3 linked regions of the Caenorhabditis elegans genome follow. The protein of the gene in region 2 purifies or fractionates together with the protein of the main gene of each other region. This does not show direct contact. Each region holds a gene or a part of one and is shown on either strand. Other genes may lie near its edges.

Region 1 (6,023 bases), on a different chromosome or scaffold from region 2:
AAGTTAGAAAAGGGCAATTTTTTAGGGTTCTCAGATCAATTTTGAGTCCTCTAACTACAAAATTGCCTATTTTAGAGGAGTTTCAAAATTGTGCTTTTTTGTCATAAATTGTCATTTTTGCCACTTTTTAATAGTTTTTGATGGGTTAAACCTAGATTTTCTGAATTCTCCATATATGAATTACCCGTCTTCAACAAAATTAGACCACTTTTTATTTTTGCCCAAATTTTTTTCAGCCATCTAATGACTGTACTTTTTTTTTGGGCAAAAAAAATAATTTTTCTGAAAACGTTCGAAACTACGGGAAATTAGAAAAGGGCAGTTTTTTAGTGTTCTCAGATCAATTTTGAGCCCTCTAACTACAAAATTGCCTATTTTAGAGAAGTTTCAAAATTGTGCTTTTTTGTCATAAATTGTCATTTTTGCCACTTTTTAATAGTTTTTGATGGGTTAAACCTAGATTTTCTGAATTCTCCATATATGAATTACCCGTCTTCAACAAAATTAGACCACTTTTTATTTTTGCCCAAATTTTTTTCAGCCATCTAATGACTGTACTTTTTTTTTTTGGGCAAAAAAAATAATTTTTCTGAAAACGTTCGAAACTACGGGAAATTGGAAAAGGGCAGTTTTTTAGTGTTCTCAGATCAATTTTGAGCCCTCTAACTACAAAATTGCCTATTTTAGAGGAGTTTCAAAATTGTGCTTTTTTGTCATAAATTGTCATTTTTGCCACTTTTTAATAGTTTTTGATGGGTTAAACCTAGATTTTCTGAATTCTCCATATATGAATTACCCGTCTTCAACAAAATTAGACCACTTTTTATTTTTGCCCAAATTTTTTTCAGCCATCAGACTGTACTTTTTTTTTTGGGCAAAAAAAATAATTTTTCTGAAAACGTTCGAAACTACGGGAAATTGGAAAAGGGCAGTTTTTTAGTGTTCTCAGATCAATTTTGAGCCCTCTAACTACAAAATTGCCTATTTTAGAGGAGTTTCAAAATTGTGCTTTTTTGTCATAAATTGTCATTTTTGCCACTTTTTAATAGTTTTTGATGGGTTAAACCTAGATTTTCTGAATTCTCCATATATGAATTACCCGTCTTCAACAAAATTAGACCACTTTTTATTTTTGCCCAAATTTTTTTCAGCCATCTAATGACTGTACTTTTTTTTTGGGCAAAAAAAATAATTTTTCTGAAAACGTTCGAAACTACGGGAAATTGGAAAAAGAGAAAGTATGGTTACTGTAGAAGGGTACTGTACTTCTATGTACAGACAGAGGATTGTTGTACTTTTACTGTTAAGGAATTTACGTCAAAAAATGATTTTGTTCCAGAAGATCTCAACTCGGACGTAATGTTCTCATCCATATCAACACATTTTCTGAAATTCACATCTTCGACGAGAAGGAAGAAACACAAAATGGAAACAGCTGGAGTTTGAAAATTACAGTTCGGATTAAATTGTGAAAAACCATTTTTGCATTTTTGTAAAACTGTTAACTATAAAATTCCCGAAATTCCAGAGCCTCACTCAAAATCGAGTTGCTTTTTCAGAAATAAAACAACATAATTGATTTATAAAATTGGAAAAATTCAACATTAAAACCAGGCAACCAACAAAAAGTAACACATATTTAAATAAAATATCAATTCTGCAAGTAAGCGTCTCCCTCGATGACACGTAGATAACTCTTTCCACTCGGCAACGGAACCGTCTTGCATTTGTCTGGATCTCCACCACAAAGCTCCTGAATAACTCTCTCTTGACTCAGAGATGGTTGAGCGATGACATTGTCACCGGCAATCCAGTTAGCCGGAGTTGCCACTGGAGCCTTTGTGCCGAGTTGAACACCGTCGACCATGCGGAGAATTTCGCTGGAAATTATGGGGAATTTTAGGCGCCAAGGCTAATGACTGGAAAATTGATAATTCTAAATATTTTTTCTAGTTTTTCAGTCTAAAAATATGTAATTCGACTTTGTTCGTGAATTCATTTATTGAATTTTCTAGTTTCACGTGGTGTCAGGCTGTCCCATTACCACTGGGTTCTGGCCTTTCTCATTGAATTTTCGCGCTCCGTAAATCTACACAAAATCTCTCCGACCCAAAATGGCCTAGTTCGGCCAACTCTGCCATTTCGATTTATAAGGGAAGCCAGAAATCCGTGCATCACGGTTTGATCTACAAAAAATGCCGGAATTTTTTGCCCAAAAAAAAGTGACGTCAGCACGTTCTTAATCATACGAAATCAGTTAAAAACTCTGCGTCTCTTCTCCCGCATTTTTTGTAGATCAACGTAGATCAATCCAAAATGAGATACTCTGACACCACGTGTAGTTTGGCAAACAGTTTTAAAAAAAACGGAGTCATTCGAAAATTGTGGAAAATTTAGCTTTTTCAATTTTTTTGTTTCAGGAGGCTTGCAAAAATCTACTTGCAAAAAAAGCAAAAATAGTTTTTTTTAGAATTCAAATTTCAACAAAAATCTATTGATTATTCGAATTCTGTGAATTTTTGAGATCCAGAAATGTCTGAAAACTTGAATTCTCTCCCCTCGAAATCTTCTCACTCACACAAAATTTCTGCCGAACGTAGCCGGATAGAGAATCTTCGATTTGAGCTTCTTATCAGGTCCAAAAAGCATCACAGCACGAGCCGAAAGACAGATTCCCTCCGAATTCATCTCATCCGGATCAATCATTCCGAGTTCTGTACAAATCGATCGATCCGTGTCGGCGATGATTTCAAATGGCAAATGGCTTCCGCAATTGCTCAATTGTGCCACCGAATTAATGTCTTTTGCCCAATCACGATGAGTTTCTGATGAATCGATACTGATCGCAAGGATCTGAACATGGCGTTTGCGGAATTCGGGAGCCAATTTGACGAGCTCGGCGAGTTCTGTAGTGCAGACGGGCGTAAAGTCGGCCGGGTGACTGAACAGCATCAGCCATCTGAAAATTGGATCGTTTTGGATTGGAATTTATTTTTTTAATAAAAGAATTTTAAAGTGAAAAAGTAGATTTTTGCAAAAAAAAATTATAAAAATTCTGAAATACTTTTTAAATGTGTTTTTTCAACTTTTTGCGAAAATTATTCAGGACTTTTTTAAAATATTTAAATTCACCTGAAAATGTAACTTTTGAAAAAAAAAATTTCGAAATGTTTTTAACATTTTTTATATAGTAAATCGTTAATTTTTTAGAAAAAAAAAATCCATATTTTTTTGGAAAATAGATGTTATTAAAGGTGGAGTAGTCGAATTTTTATTTATTTCTTTACTAGACTCAAAATTGTCTGAAAACGCCAAATTTCAACATGAAACTTCTTGAAAACTTCTCAAAAAAAAGTTATGACGGCTTAAAAACTAGCCTAAAATTAGTTAAAATCGAAAATTTGACCGACTTGTCAATGTCGAAGCGGCTGGAACCAATTTTTTTTGAAATCATCGTCAAATTTTGAGTAAAGGCGACATTGAAAAGTAGGTCAAATTTCTAATTTTAACTAATTTTAGGCCATTTTTGAGCCGTCTTAATTTTTTTTTTGAGAAATTTTCATGAAATTTCATAACGAAATTCCTTGTTTTCAGACAATTTTGAGTCTAATAAAGCAATTTAAAAAAATCCGGCTACACCACCTTTAACTCAATTTTTCATTTTTTTTCAAAATTTCCAAAAAAATTTGTTTTTTCAAAATCCTTTCAAATTAACTCAAACTATCCAATAAAGTACAACCAAATTAACAATTTTTTCTCCAAACTCACTGTTCTCCAATGTAGTTGTGCAAAGTTTGATTTTTGCGAAGATCCGTTTCGAATGTAAAATTTGGAACGGTGTCTCCGAGCTTCATCTCTTGAGTTTTAATCTGAAATTTATTATAATTTTCAGTTTTTTGAATGTTTCAATAAAAAAGTAAAAAATAGTTTCTTAAGAAGATAATATGATTTGGCTCAGCAAAGAAAAAACAAAAAAAAATTTCCAATCACAACAAAATTCAATTTATTTCGTTATTTCAGGGAAATGTTGACATGATTGTGTAGGTGATCGTGATCTACCGTACCAGTAGACACCTTCGTGTTGCTCGAAAAAATGTGAAAATTCGAGAAAACAACTCAAAAATAGCCAAGAAAAGGGCGGAGCGTAATCCAAATTAAAATCGCTAATAGGCTCCGCCCATATATTGGCTTTAAGCTTTTATAAATATCAAAAGCTTTCAAAATTTCAGAATTTTTTTAAAAGAATTTTTTTATTAATTCAGTAAAACTTAATTGAAACGTGCGTATTAAATCATTTATACATAAAAGCCATGAGATGGGCGGAGCTTATTTTGTGGTTTTTGTTCCCGGCGAATGTCATCTGTTTTATGTGTTAGACTTCACTTTCCAATCGGATATTTGGAGTGGTGTCGGACAATGAAATTATTTGTAATAAGCTCCACCCATTTCTTGGTTTTTTAAAATTCAATTTCTTAGATTTCAGCATTAAAATTGTTCTAAAACAAGAAAATTTAATTGGTTTTTTGTTTTGAAAATCTAAAGAGCTTTAGACCAAAAAGTTTGTTGAAGGAAACTTGAGAACCCGAACACAAAGTAAATAAAACAATTTTATTTCACTTTTTTCAGCCTCAAATTATTTGGAATAGGCTCCGCCCATTTCTTGGTTCTTTCAAAAATTCCATTCAATAGATCCCAGCAAAAATTAAAAACAAAAACAAATAATTTCCAGAAAAAAGTTAAGAAAAATTTAGATAGCTAATTTTTTTTCGTTGTTTTTAAACAATTAAAAAAAAAATTTCCAGAAAAAAGTTTTTCCAACGTTTTTTTTAGGAATTTGATTTTTTTTTTTAATTTTTGATTTTTCGCTTTAAAAAGTAATTACAAAAAAACTTTTTTTAAAAAACTGAAAAGGTTCTAAGCTTAGATAAAACTAGCAAATTATTTGAAAAAAGGAAAAAAATCAAAATATAAAATCATTGGTAGAGTAAACAAAGGAAAAAAAGCAAAAAAAAAACGTTAAAAATAATAGAAATTTGATTTATTATTATGACGGGGGGAAAAGTACACATTTATCACAGTTAAGACGGGTTTTTTGTAAAATAAAGTAATTTCTACGAAAAAAAGGGGTATAATTTGTAAATTATTGATTAGATCAAGGACAGGGATGCAAATTTTGAAAAAAAAATCATTAAAAATTACTGAAAAATCCCACAGAAAATGCTCAAAAACTACTAGAAATTTCGATTTCTCGAGAATTTTTTTTTTTGAATATTGTAGCAATTTCCGCTGGATATTTTCAATGAGAACCTCCCAAAAAAAGAGATTAAAAGCTGCAAAATTGAAAATTACACAGAAATTTAGATGCACAGAGAGATCCAAAAAGAACACAAAAATACAGTATTCAGATTTAAAAAAAATTTAGATTCCACCGAGCTCATCAACTTCATCATCATCATCTTCAACTCCGGATCGATCCCGTCGGAGCACCACGATATCTTCTGAGTCTGACGTTGGACTCGTCGTTCCTGCTCCGTTTCGTTGTAGGAGTTCCTGAAAAGATTAAGAATTAAAAATTGTTTTGGAGAATGGAAAATTTTCTTTAATTTCCATATATTCAAGAAAATTTGCAGGAATTTTTGGAAAATGTCATAGTTACTGAACCGTTTCTTTTTTATGATTTTAATTTTTAACAAAAATTCGTCAAAATAATAAATAAAACATAACAATTCATAATTTTCAGCCGCACCAAAAAAGTATTATGGTAATGAGAATCATTAGATTTTTTCAGGAAAAGAGTTCCCAAAAAGACTAAGAATAAGAATTTGGAAAAAAAACTTTTGAGGAAACAAATAAAATTGAATTTCTTATCAATTTTTTGATTTTTTCTCAAATTTTTGTAATGTTTCCTTAATAAAAGAAAAATAGTTGAGCTTCTCCAGTGAGCTGACAGTGCTACGTGGCCGTGGAAAAACTGATGGCCGAATTTTGTCTGTTTGCGGTTCCAAATTTCTGTTAAAAATAGA
Region 2 (5,882 bases):
AATGCAAAGGAGGAAGACCAGAGCCCCGTGAAAAAAAGTAAAAATATTTTGCTTTGAATTTCATTACAGTATACATTCAATTATAACCGATTTCAAATGGAATTATGTCTGTAACTTATGTAATTAATTCCATTATTCACAATATGTAGACGTATCACACGCGGCAACTTCACAAACATATCTCTCGGACACCGTATACTGGTTGACATTCTGCCATCCCACTCTGAAAGCACTGCTGGATTGCTGATTGAGGACGGCGGTGGTCGTAGATGATTGTGTAGGGAATCCTGGATTCCATAGGCTATCGTTAAGCTGGAACTGATACAGGGATAAGAACTTTGGCAGATTATGGGAAGGGACTTACCGGCACCAACGCGTGACCCACAGGTTGTTGCCACGCATATCCTCCATTCACATAGCTCAGTCCGATGTGATACACATAGGGCTCGGGGAATGAAGTGTCGTTGCGGACAAGTTATGAAAAAAAAACAATTGATGCACCTCGAACCTTTAAAAAAATCTAATTTAACTTACTGAAAACATAGTCATGCTTCTTCTGATCATACTCGGTGACCATGTACCCCGTCTGGATCATATTCTGACACGCAAACTTTGCTGGGGTCCAGCCAGCTGTCAGAGCCACCGGGCGCAGGCAAACTCCGAATTTTGAAGAATGAGGGTCCTCGAATGTTTCTCGGTATTGAGTCCAAAGGTTTGAGCAGTAGCAGTTGGCTGAAAAAATTAGCTAACGATAACTTTTGGAAAAAAACTTTTGGAATTTTCAGTCTTACTCTGAATCATTGCAGTTTGAATTTCCTTAACCAGATTTTCATCTTCATTCGTAAAATTGAAACCCGGCGTCGCAATTTCTCCAATCAGCTTGATCATCTCTTCATCTCCAGTCTGATCAAAAGCGACAGTTGCGATGCTAACACCAGACGCCTTAAGCCGTTCAGCGATAGGCCTAGGATCCTCTTCACCTTCATCATTATAAGCGGATGCATAGACAATCACCATTTGCTTGTAGTTTTTGCGAGTGTTGTTCTTGCGACCAGCGGCCAGGAGTTGCTCAGCTGCTCCGATTCCTCTGGAAATCATGGGACTTGGAATGGTTTAAAGGTATGAAAAACTCACTTCGCTAGGAAAACATCTTCTGAAGTGCTCAGGTCATTCGGAAGAATTTGAAATACCGTGCTGAAAAGATCATCTGGCGACTGGAAGCGATTTAGATCGGCTTGCTGAAAACACTTGGTTAAAACTTAAGTTAGGTTCTGTTATGATGCTACAGACTTGCTCCATTTAAGTCCGAGCTCACACTATTGCACGTGATGTCAGGCTGTCCCATCACGGGTTGATCTTCAAAAAATGCGGGATGTTTTCCCAGGAAAATGCGACGTCAGCAAGCTGTGAAATCAGTTCTAAAGTCTGCGTCTAAAGTCCCGCATTTATGGTAGATCAACCCGAAATGGTACACTCTGGCATCACGTGATGAGCGAGGAACGGTGCTCCATCGCACACCTCACGTGGTGTCAGAGTGTCTCATTTCGGCTCGATCTACATAGATCTACAAAAAAAGCGGGAGAAGAGACGCATAGTTTTCAACTGATATCGCATGGTTAAGAACTTGCTGACGTCACTTTTTTTGGGCAAAAAATTCCCGCATTTTTTGTAGATCAAAACGTAATGGGACAGCCTGACATCACGTGCTGGTATAGGCAGGCAAAGGCCCCCAAGCCCAGGTAACATTTGCGATTCCCGCTCTTACAATTGTTGCCTCAGTGTTGTAGGTAACCAATCCAACTCGGGTTGTCCTTTTATCGATATAATTCGTCCCAATCCTCGTGCCAGCGCCAAACACTGTCACAATTTGGGCAGCCACCTGATAACAATTTCGTAATTGATTTCAGAGAGAAAACAAACCTCTGTAAGCCCCTCTTGTGTCATCGGAGCCGAGTTGTCGACTACAACGACTACGTCCAACCAGAGATTCGCCAGGTCATGACCGCAGTTTCTATCCGTGGGAGGCACCTGGCCGTAGGTGACGGAGAGCAGAAAAAGTAGAAGAAGCCCAATAAGCATCTGAAGATGAACTTTACTTAATTGATGTCACAAACAAAAATCAATTAAAAAACTACTTTGAAAATGAATGACAAATTCAGTAATGATAAGAAGCCCGCAAACGTCATTTACTAACATAAGATTGTTATAATTAATCAAAAGGTGCTGGTGACATTTTGGTAGACGATAAGTTGCGCTAAAGGCCAAATCTAATTAAAGTTCAAGTTCAAATTATAAACAAACATTCTAAAAATTTTCAGTTAAGTCGATTAGTTGGGTGGGGTTGTTTAAACTTTTCAACACGAAATTTCAATTAACAACACCCATCAGTCCTTCCTGCTATCTTTAATTCTAAAAAATTTAATAGCCATCGGTTTTGAAATGTATGCTGCACCTCCTGGTGATAAGGTGTTATCAGTGATGGGGGAGCATACGAAAATTGTCTTAAAATACGCCCCCTCCCAAGCAGTTCTCATCATTTTCTCATCGTTAGTTGGCTTCTTTTCAAGTTTTTAAACAAATTCAATTTAATATTATTATTAGTATTATTATGTTTTCAGCCATGTTCAAACTGGTGAGCTTGGCACTGACCCTTGTGGCTCTTGCCTCCGCACAAGATAGCACTACATCATGGCAAACAGGAGCAACACAAGGACCAACACCATCAACACCACCACCAACTCCAGGGGGCTCAAATGTCGACCGTGAATGCGGTGGAGACTTGACCAACCTTTGGCTTGATGTTGTCGTCGTCGTCGACAACTCCAAGGGTATGACCAATGAAGGAATCACCGAAATCGCCGCCAACATCGTCACCGTCTTCGGAAACGGAACCAGAATCGGAAACCAGTACTCCGACCCAAGATCCACCAGACTCGGACTTGTCACCTATAACGGAAGATCCACTATCGTCGCTGACTTGAACCTCCTTCAATCGATCGACGACCTCTACCAATCGGTTTTCTCTACTCTCAACCAGGTCAGCAACTCCGACGACTCTTTCCTGGCTAAAGGAATCGGTGCCGCAGAGAATGTGCTCCAATCCGGAAGAACCAATGGAGTTCGATCGAACTACAAGAGACTCGTCGTTGTCTACGCTTCAGCTTACAAGTAAGAACTTACGTAGAATACTTTCTTTCTTGTCTGTTAAAATTCATCTATTTCGTCTTGAGAGGGTTTTGATGCGATTACTAGAACTTTGAACAAATACGCATGGTCGAATCGGATTATAAATTAACCTATGCTCTTACCTTACTAAGCTTAGGCTTACAGCTTAGGTTAAATTTAAGCTTACATCAATTCCAACCAAAACGTCGTACTTCTGTTGGATCCTTCAACTCTGCGGAAACTTCGGTAAAGGGAGCATTTAGGAATTTCTGAAGATCAGACAAAAATAGAGAGCACCCAAATATTTAAAGTAATTACACACTCCTACGTTTCAGGGGAGAAGGCGAGCTCGACCCCATTCCAGTCGCCGATCGTCTCAAGTCCTCCGGAGTCGTTGTCTCCACCGTTGCCTTCGACCAGGACGGAGATGAGGCTCTTCTCGCCGGACTCACCAACATCGCCTCGCCAAACTACGCTTTCACCTCCAAGGACTTGAACTTGGTTGGAGAACTTCAAGGAGCTGCTCTTCAAAGTAAGATCCTTAGTTGTTCTACCAATACATAAAATTTCAAAATTACAGCCAACTGCTTCTGCCCGAACTTGTGGACCCAATACAAGTCGAACTTCGACGACGAGAACTCTTACAAATACGGAGTGTGCATCCGCCCCGCCACCATCTCCTCATCCTGGACCGCTGCCAAGTTCGCGTGCCAGAACCTCGCCAAGAACGGATTCCTCGCCGCCGAGTACGACGGACAGAAGCACAACTTCCTCTTCAGAGTCGCCCAGAACAACACCGCCTTCCAAGCTCCATACATCTATCACATCGGATTGAGTTATGTGAACGGAGGATGGAATTGGCAGCAACCAGCTGGATACCCACTCAAGCCAGTAAGTTTTGCCGTTGTCACGTAATGATGTAAGATGATGATAGTCGTATTGAACCTTGAAAAAGATCAAATCACTAGAAGTGATAACGAAAAATTGAACATTGTTCGGATGATAAGCCTAATCAATTTTCAGATGAGCGGCTACTCCAAATGGAACCCATCCTATCCAAAGTCCTTCACCAGCAACATCGGAGTCGTTGAGCAGCAATTCAGCTCGGATCTCACTGTTGGATGGCAGAACATCAACGCATACAGTGTTGCTGAGTACTACATGTGCGAAGTCGCTTCCTGTGATACCGACAAGTATTGTTAATTTAGCTACACTAATTTTTTTTGTAAGGTTCCTGTTGCGGTATAAAGGCTTTAATGATGAATTTTTTTTTTAATTTGCTTTCACATTAAAATAATTTGTCGAATGGAAAAAATCAAGAAATATAATACTGTTTAAATAATTTCTGAAGTGTAGTAAAACTTATATTGTAGATTCATCCCCTCACAGTTGTGTTGTCCGCAAATCAAACTACAAAATACAAAGAAGACAGACTGAAAGTTGTGTTCAAGTTTCAATAGTTTACCGAACTAGGCCATTTTGGCTCGGACATATCTGGGGTAGATTTACGGCGCGTCGCGGCTCGGTTTTAGTTGTAAAGCTGAATGCATTTGTCCGTGTAGAGTACACGACTATCCCACCCGTTGTCCGGCTTGTCAATGGAGCGAGAAAAATGTAATGAGGAAGGCCAGAACCCCGTTAAAAAATCAACATTTTCTCAAAAATATAAATGTTAAAAGCTCTTAACCTTTCACTTTCACCTACCCAAAACTAAAATTAATTACAAATTCGATTGCATCGAAAATCACTAAATTTCGTTATCATTGAGCAAATAATGTGTGCACACCCGTGTGGAAATGCTAATCCCTCGAAAAAAAAAACTCATAAAAGATTATTTTCAGAATATCATCATTTCCTTACTTTTCCACATTCAAGTTTACTTTTTTCCATATTGTTCAGGCAGGTAGGCATGTTTTGGTTTCTCATGAAAAACAGGCACGCACACATGCCTATTTATCTGCCTGCATGCCTGCTTTTTGTCAATTTTCTGTTGTTTGGCGTTTTTTTGAAAATTGGTTTTCAAACTTACTGCAATTATTTTGAATGCATTTTTACAGTTTTTCGGTATATGAAGCTGAAGCTATGAAGCTCCAAAATTTCCAGCAATGTTACTAAACCTACTTGCCATTTTCACTGCTTTTGCAACAACCCAAGCTTCAACTGATCGCAACTGTGGAAGTAACTGGAATAACCTTTGGCTAGACATCGTTATAGTCGTGGATAACTCGAAAGGCATGACAAACGAAGGAATCACAGAAGTTGCAGCCAATATTGCGACCACATTTGCAAGTGGCCCAAGAATTGGAACGGACTATTCTGATCCAAGATCTACCAGGCTTAGCATACTCACTTATAATAGTGAGGCTACAGTTGTCGCTGACTTGAATCAGTTTCAGTCGGCCGATGACGTCTATCAGACGCTTTTCTCGTTTCTCAATGAGGTCAGTGACTCTGATGATTCGTTCCTGGCGAAAGGGCTTGGGATGGCTGAGAGTGTTCTTTACAATGGAAGGATGAATGGAGTTAGAGAGAATTATAATCGATTGGTTGTGGTTTATGCTTCAGCTTACAGGTAGAAGCTTAGATTTGTTTTTTGAAAGTTAAACTAAAATTAGTTTATATACAATTTCTTGCCAATATTTGGAAAAGAAAAACTCATAAACGTTTCAAACGGTATGTAGTTTGAATCAGGGTTTGCAGTTCGGCAAATCGGCAAC
Region 3 (5,900 bases), 1.3 Mb from region 2:
GAGACGGTAAGTTTTGGAAATTTTATTGGACTGGAATCAATAACTGTTGTCATTTCAGAAGTTCAAAAGTGCCCGGGTCCACGTTTTCGCACCAGGCGAGATTGTCAACCGATATCTGTCCGAGTTGGCCACCTCGTTGCATGACTACCTTCAGAACACTGACGTGAGTTTTTTTGAAATTTTTTTTGGCCTTGTGGTGTTCCACTAGGATTTGATTCTAGCCACTTTATGGATTTTGGGAGTGTGAGATTTGTGCGATGCATTTCCAAAATCCCATTTTTATCTTTGTTGGGTCGAAATGTTTTTCAGAAAATTTACATAGAAATATAGAGAAATATTTTTTCTTTTTGAGTATAATTTTTCTTATATAATTAAATATTTTTAAAGTTGCTCAAAAGAGCCTCAAATATCGATGAGCCAATCAACACATTTCCTGGGCTCAGTTTCGACTTTGAGGCGGTTTTGAAGCAACTTCACGAAATTTTCAATTGAAAGTAAAATTATTTTCAAAAAGTACAAATATTTGTCTATTTTTGTATAGAAATTTCCAAAGAATAACCCAGATTTCTACCTGACTTTGCCTAATTCTTACCTAATTTTTCCAATTTTCAGACCCGCTACCTGCTGATAGTGTTCACCAACGACAAGGCTGACCCGAACATGACTGGGCCACCATCTGTAGCATCACTCGCCGTTCCACCAGTAAGCAGTACCTAATCAGGAAGAGCCTTATTTCCTCTGCCAAATTCAACCAACCCAAAATCTACTGTCGATTCTCAACCTATGTGCAATCTTGTCAAAAAAAAGTATATATCTATTTCTCTCGCCCGTTTATTTATTCCGCTATTCATATAACATGTATGTTTTACCCGATTGACTCAGACTTGTGTTTTAATTTGAATTATGGGTTTTAATTTTTTTAACTTAACAAAAAGACAAATTCGGTACCATTAAAGTTTTATCTCTTCCCCCGCCACTGTATATTTATTCCCCACCCAACCTTATTTATCTACTTTAACGGACTATTCCCCCGGTTTATATCTCATTTTCTTCATTCCGCCGGAAGGATTTCTGTCTTTTTGGCACACCGCTTTCTCAATTTTCCTCCCTACTAGACACTAATTCAAGTCTCTCATGAAAATAGCGGATCAGTTTTCGTAAAATGTTAGTTTAAGACCTCCCCCCCCCCCCCCGTCCCATCTACTATTTAAACATTTTCCAATTTGTCGTCATTCTTATATTATTTAATTCATCATTCTTGTCTTTCGTCTGTATTTTTATCGGAGAAGCTCTCGACTCGCTCGAAAAACGAAAACAATGAAATAATTGAATTTACGCAAATTTCTTTATACACAATGACTATGCGATTCTGGAAATTAAATTTTCAGCATTTAAATTTGTTGAAAAGGAAAATAACAAAACGGGAAAGAAATTCATTATAGGAGAATTGTGTTATTTTGGAACAAACATTAACATTAAACGGTAAATTTCCAAATTTTCAAAAAATTCAGGCTCCCTGCAATGTTCAACAGCTAATTAAAACATATTGAAAGTATAAAATGTGTTTGGAAAGCAGAATTTTTATTTCAGACCTAATCACAAATTTCTTGAAAGACACTGTAATAAGTTTTAAGGCAAGAATTCCGGGTATTGTTGGCGAATCTCGTCGAGCTTCCAATAACTCGATTGAGTTCCATGACGTGTCACAGAAAGTGCGGCCAAGTTGGCAGCCGAGCGTATTGATGCGGAAATCGGATGGCCGGCAACCAAATGAGCAGCCAGTGAACCACAGAAACAGTCACCGGCTCCCTGGAATTTTCAATTAATATTATACCTATATGCAGATTGATCTTGTTCATATTTCCTCCAGGTTACTGTAGAAAACTTGCGCCAAAAATTTTGATTTTGATAAAGTAGTTTTTTAGAGGCCCATGCACAACATTTTTAACTAAAAATAACTAGAAAGGCAACTAATTTCTTTCGTTTCAAAAAATATATTGTGGTGGGACCCAAGCTCGGACAAAATTTATTTTTTAGTATTACCGTAGTATCAACTGCATCGACTTTGATCACGGCGGTATGCTCAACATCATCGACTCCTTTGGATGCAAGCAGGACACCTACAATTCAAAAAAAAATTTATTGTTTCAAATTATCCCAGTGTAAGTCCCCCAACCTTTGCCTCCGAGAGTTATGATCGCATGTTGAGGTCCCATTTTGAGCATTGCACGTGCTGCTTTTTCAGCGTCTTTCACGTTGTTTTGAGCGATTCCAGTGATGAATTCCGCCTGGAAAGTTGAAATTTAATTTATTTTTTGTTCAGAACAATATTTGGAAAAGTTCAATTGATTAGAAAAAATAACATAGACCTACTTCATTCTCATTGGTACAAATAATATCAACCAGCTCGAGAATCGTCTTATCCATATTCGGATCCCCAGGAGCTGGATTTAAAAAAGTGGTGACTCCGTGACTTCTAGCAATTTCGAAGGCTCTTCTATTTCCTTTTTCGTCAATTTCTCCCTGACAAATGACCATTTTCGAGCCAGCAATTTTTGAAGAGTTCGCATCAGCGATTTCAGGCGACATTTCAAGATTTGCACCCAGCGTCACCACAATGTTGTTTTCGCCTGGAAATTTTGGAATTTGGATTTGAAATAATGTAAGTCTCATGTAAATCTGAAAATCAAGAAAATTTAATTTTTCGAATTTACCATATTTTAATAGTTTTACACCTCAATTGCACTGTAACAAATCGAACTTTTCATGTCTGTAGATGCTATTTGAAATATTTTTTCTACATATGTCAAATTCCAATTTTCTACTAGATGCATCACATTTTGAGCTCACTTTTTGAGTCTAAAAATTTGTAATTCTCCTTACCCTCTCTCCCCCACTTCTTACTATTAGTTCCAGTTCAAAGTTATTTGTTTGTCGTCGTCACTGAAGGTTCTTCGAAATAATAAGTTATTTATATTACGTCACCAAAAAAATGGGGGAAAAAGAAAGAGAAAATAGATTCTATGAACGTAGACAAATCGTTTTCAGAACAAAATTAGAATTTCAGTGATCTACGAGCTATAAGAACAGATATAGCTATAGGAACTTATTCTTAACCCGGTTGGCAATTTTTTCTTAGAGGTAGGGTCTTGCTACAAATATTGAATGTTTCTTCAAGACATTCAAGAGGCCACACATAATCTTAAATATTTTTTTCCCGCCAAAACTCGGATACAAACCTTCTTTGTTAACAGTGATAGTCGCTGTGGCGGTATGTGTCTTTTTGGTCCGTCCCACACAACTTGTATCAACTCCATTGCTGCTCAAATCCTTAATATTAGAATCTCCGAACATATCTTCTCCAACCATTCCAATCATTGAGACATTGATCCCTAGGCGAGCCGCAGCAACTGCCTGATTGGCGCCTTTTCCGCCGGAGCCCAGCTTGAAATTGTGACCGCGCACCGACTCTCCAGGTCTTGGGAAACTATCTGTGTAGCTGGAAATTGGTAGTTTATAATGTAAAATTGTTTAATGAAAGATAAAATTTAAAAAAAACAGACCTGACAAGATCCTGAACGATACTTCCGAAAACCACGATTTTCTGGTTTTCACTTGACATAACGATATGCTTTTTTTTTAATTTAGAAAATTCTGAAATAAAAAAATAAAAATGCGATTGATAGCACGTGTCAAATAATCAAAGAAACACAAAAAAGAGAAGAGAGAAAGAGAATCAGGTGGTTAGCTTGTTGAGGGCAAAAACTGTTTGCCAACAAATTTGGCAGCTGGTCAGTTATGGTAAGAGAATAAGACACACGTAGTATTATTTTCCAGAAATTTTTTAGGTGGCTAAAAATGCCTGCCTGCCTCATGCCTACACTCTACTGAAAGGAAACATGTTAGTCCTCTTGAAAGCGAAGCAAATAATTTGTAGGCAGGCACGTAGGCCCGTTCGCATGAAGAACCTACAATGATGACAGACCCTATAATTCCTAGAAAAAGCTTTCAAAAACCAAAAGCAAATTTTAAAAAAAGCAAAAAAATTTTTTTTGAAGGTTCCCAAACAGATAATGTTCCCATTTTAAACCATTCAGGTCAGATAAAATTGTGATCAAAAATTAATTGTTTTGGTTATTTTTTTGATCTTTAAAAATTTTCACTGACAGTGATTTTATGTGAAAAAAAAACAAAACAATGGCGTCATATATCACGGGCCAAAATTCAGAAATCAGGCGATAGGCAGGCACGTAGGCCTGCAAAATGGCACGTGAATGGCCTCAAAATGCATTGAACTAAAAACAGATAATATTTGGAACTCGTATCTTATCTTTTCCCCTTCTTATCAATTTTCATCGGCTTATCTTGATTTCTTTTTTCTTTTTTTCCTTTGCAGTCAAGGACAGAATTTTAATTTTGAAATTAATTTATTCTCTTCGGGGAACAAAAAAAAAACTGAAACCGGTCTCCGTGGATTCAAACAATTGTTATTTTAATAATCAATAAAATTAGGAAAATTAATGAAAAATATATAAATATTAAATCAAAGATGTAATATCTAAAAACATGGTAACAGGTTTTGAAAGAAATGAAGACAATGAACAACACGTGGAAAAAAAAATTGATGAATTTATGAAAATCTAGAAAAATGACTAAATTTTGACTTCTTCTGGAGCTCCAGGATCACACGAGTAGTGGCGTCTGAAATAAAAAATTGTTCATTGATCGGAATAGGTTACTTTGATAAAAACCCAGCGCGGTGATCATTAAAAATTAAATCATTAAAAAAAAAAAAAAACTCATCAGTTTGAAAATGAACAACTAGTTCCAAAATAAAAAATATTATGGAAAAACTTTCAAAACCTTTTTTGAAATTTTTATTCCAGTGAAAAAGTTCTGAACATTCAGTTTTCAAGCATTACCTTGTAAGTCGGTCAAAATATGTTATCCTGGTTTTTTTTTACTAATTTCGTACTAATTGTTTTTTTCAAATTCTAGGAGCTCGAACCTGCAGGATATCTTAAATAACCACAGAAATTCACAATTTTTTGGCGATTTATGAAATCTTTGCCTAAAAGTTTTGAAAAAACAAGCAAATCACGGTTTCTTATTATTGAAATCCAAAATTTTTATTTAATTTTTTAAAGAAAAATTTAAGAAAAAAATTTTCAATTTGCGTGACCTCGGTCGTGGAACTTATTATTTAGATTTGGAATATATAAATTGTCCAAATCTGAAGCTGAATCAATCAGTTCTCACTTTTATCCAATGCTTACAAATTCAATTATCAATTTGCTTATTACAATAGTGCTTTCTAATCAACTATCATACTATCAATACCGTGCTGGAAACTATCTCAATTATTTGAACGTCTTCGTCTCAAAAAAAGCCGTTCTCAGGATTTATCGATTTTCTTGAATTTCAGGAAATTCTTTCCCAGATTTATAGTTCTTGGGGTTTCCAACTCACTTGAATATACTCCTCGTCACATTCTGATCTCTCATTTTATAGAAGAGTAAGTAAGCATCCTCCGTTTGTAAAGTGCTCGTAGACTGCCGAGCCACCGTCGAATCATCGAAATTCCTCCATTCGATTTTCGTTTTCGACGAATCAAAATCGGCGAGTCGACCCATACTAATATAATGACCGAAGTAACTGTTTCCACTATGGCATACTACTCCCGTTAGATCATACATCTGAAATTTCAATATTTTTTGAAAATAATTACTGTGAATAGTTACCGTTGAATTAGGATGTGGAGATGTTTCTGCTAAAAACGGAGACATATCAAGACTCTCCAATGGATACTCAACTGATCGGGTGTCCTTGCTTCGACGAGCCATTGATGATTGATAAGTGAATGCTGAAAGTCCATACAATAGATTTTTTGAAAAATCGAG

What was found. Proteins that work in one complex are often made in the same cells at the same time.
Region 1: the proteins of clec-63 (region 2) and prdx-6 fractionate together in Caenorhabditis elegans (co-fractionation; one large-scale study listed by BioGRID). This does not show direct contact.
Region 3: the proteins of clec-63 (region 2) and F07A11.5 fractionate together in Caenorhabditis elegans (co-fractionation; one large-scale study listed by BioGRID). This does not show direct contact.

Annotation. Positions count from the first base shown.
Region 1 is NC_003282.8:216,398-222,420, reverse strand, and holds prdx-6 (Thioredoxin domain-containing protein), read right to left. Parts: upstream 3,870-6,023; 5' UTR 3,855-3,869; coding exon 3,769-3,854; intron 2,960-3,768; coding exon 2,579-2,959; intron 1,881-2,578; coding exon 1,652-1,880; 3' UTR 1,568-1,651; downstream 1-1,567. Other genes in the region: Y38C1AA.1 (Phospholipid/glycerol acyltransferase domain-containing protein), read right to left, coding at 5,419-5,550.
Region 2 is NC_003280.10:12,893,020-12,898,901, forward strand, and holds clec-63 (C-type LECtin), read left to right. Parts: upstream 1-2,618; 5' UTR 2,619-2,620; coding exon 2,621-3,168; intron 3,169-3,500; coding exon 3,501-3,697; intron 3,698-3,745; coding exon 3,746-4,056; intron 4,057-4,188; coding exon 4,189-4,368; 3' UTR 4,369-4,427; downstream 4,428-5,882. Other genes in the region: clec-62 (VWFA domain-containing protein), read right to left, coding at 133-318, 365-477, 535-732, 792-1,087, 1,135-1,238, 1,766-1,879, 1,921-2,079; clec-64 (VWFA domain-containing protein), read left to right, coding at 5,271-5,737.
Region 3 is NC_003280.10:11,610,059-11,615,958, reverse strand, and holds F07A11.5 (Ribokinase), read right to left. Parts: upstream 3,660-5,900; 5' UTR 3,623-3,659; coding exon 3,564-3,622; intron 3,500-3,563; coding exon 3,240-3,499; intron 2,631-3,239; coding exon 2,374-2,630; intron 2,289-2,373; coding exon 2,177-2,288; intron 2,121-2,176; coding exon 2,044-2,120; intron 1,810-2,043; coding exon 1,630-1,809; 3' UTR 1,568-1,629; downstream 1-1,567. Other genes in the region: din-1 (Daf-12-interacting protein 1), read left to right, coding at 1-6, 59-163, 613-717; F07A11.4 (ubiquitinyl hydrolase 1), read right to left, coding at 4,653-4,701, 5,470-5,696, 5,742-5,863.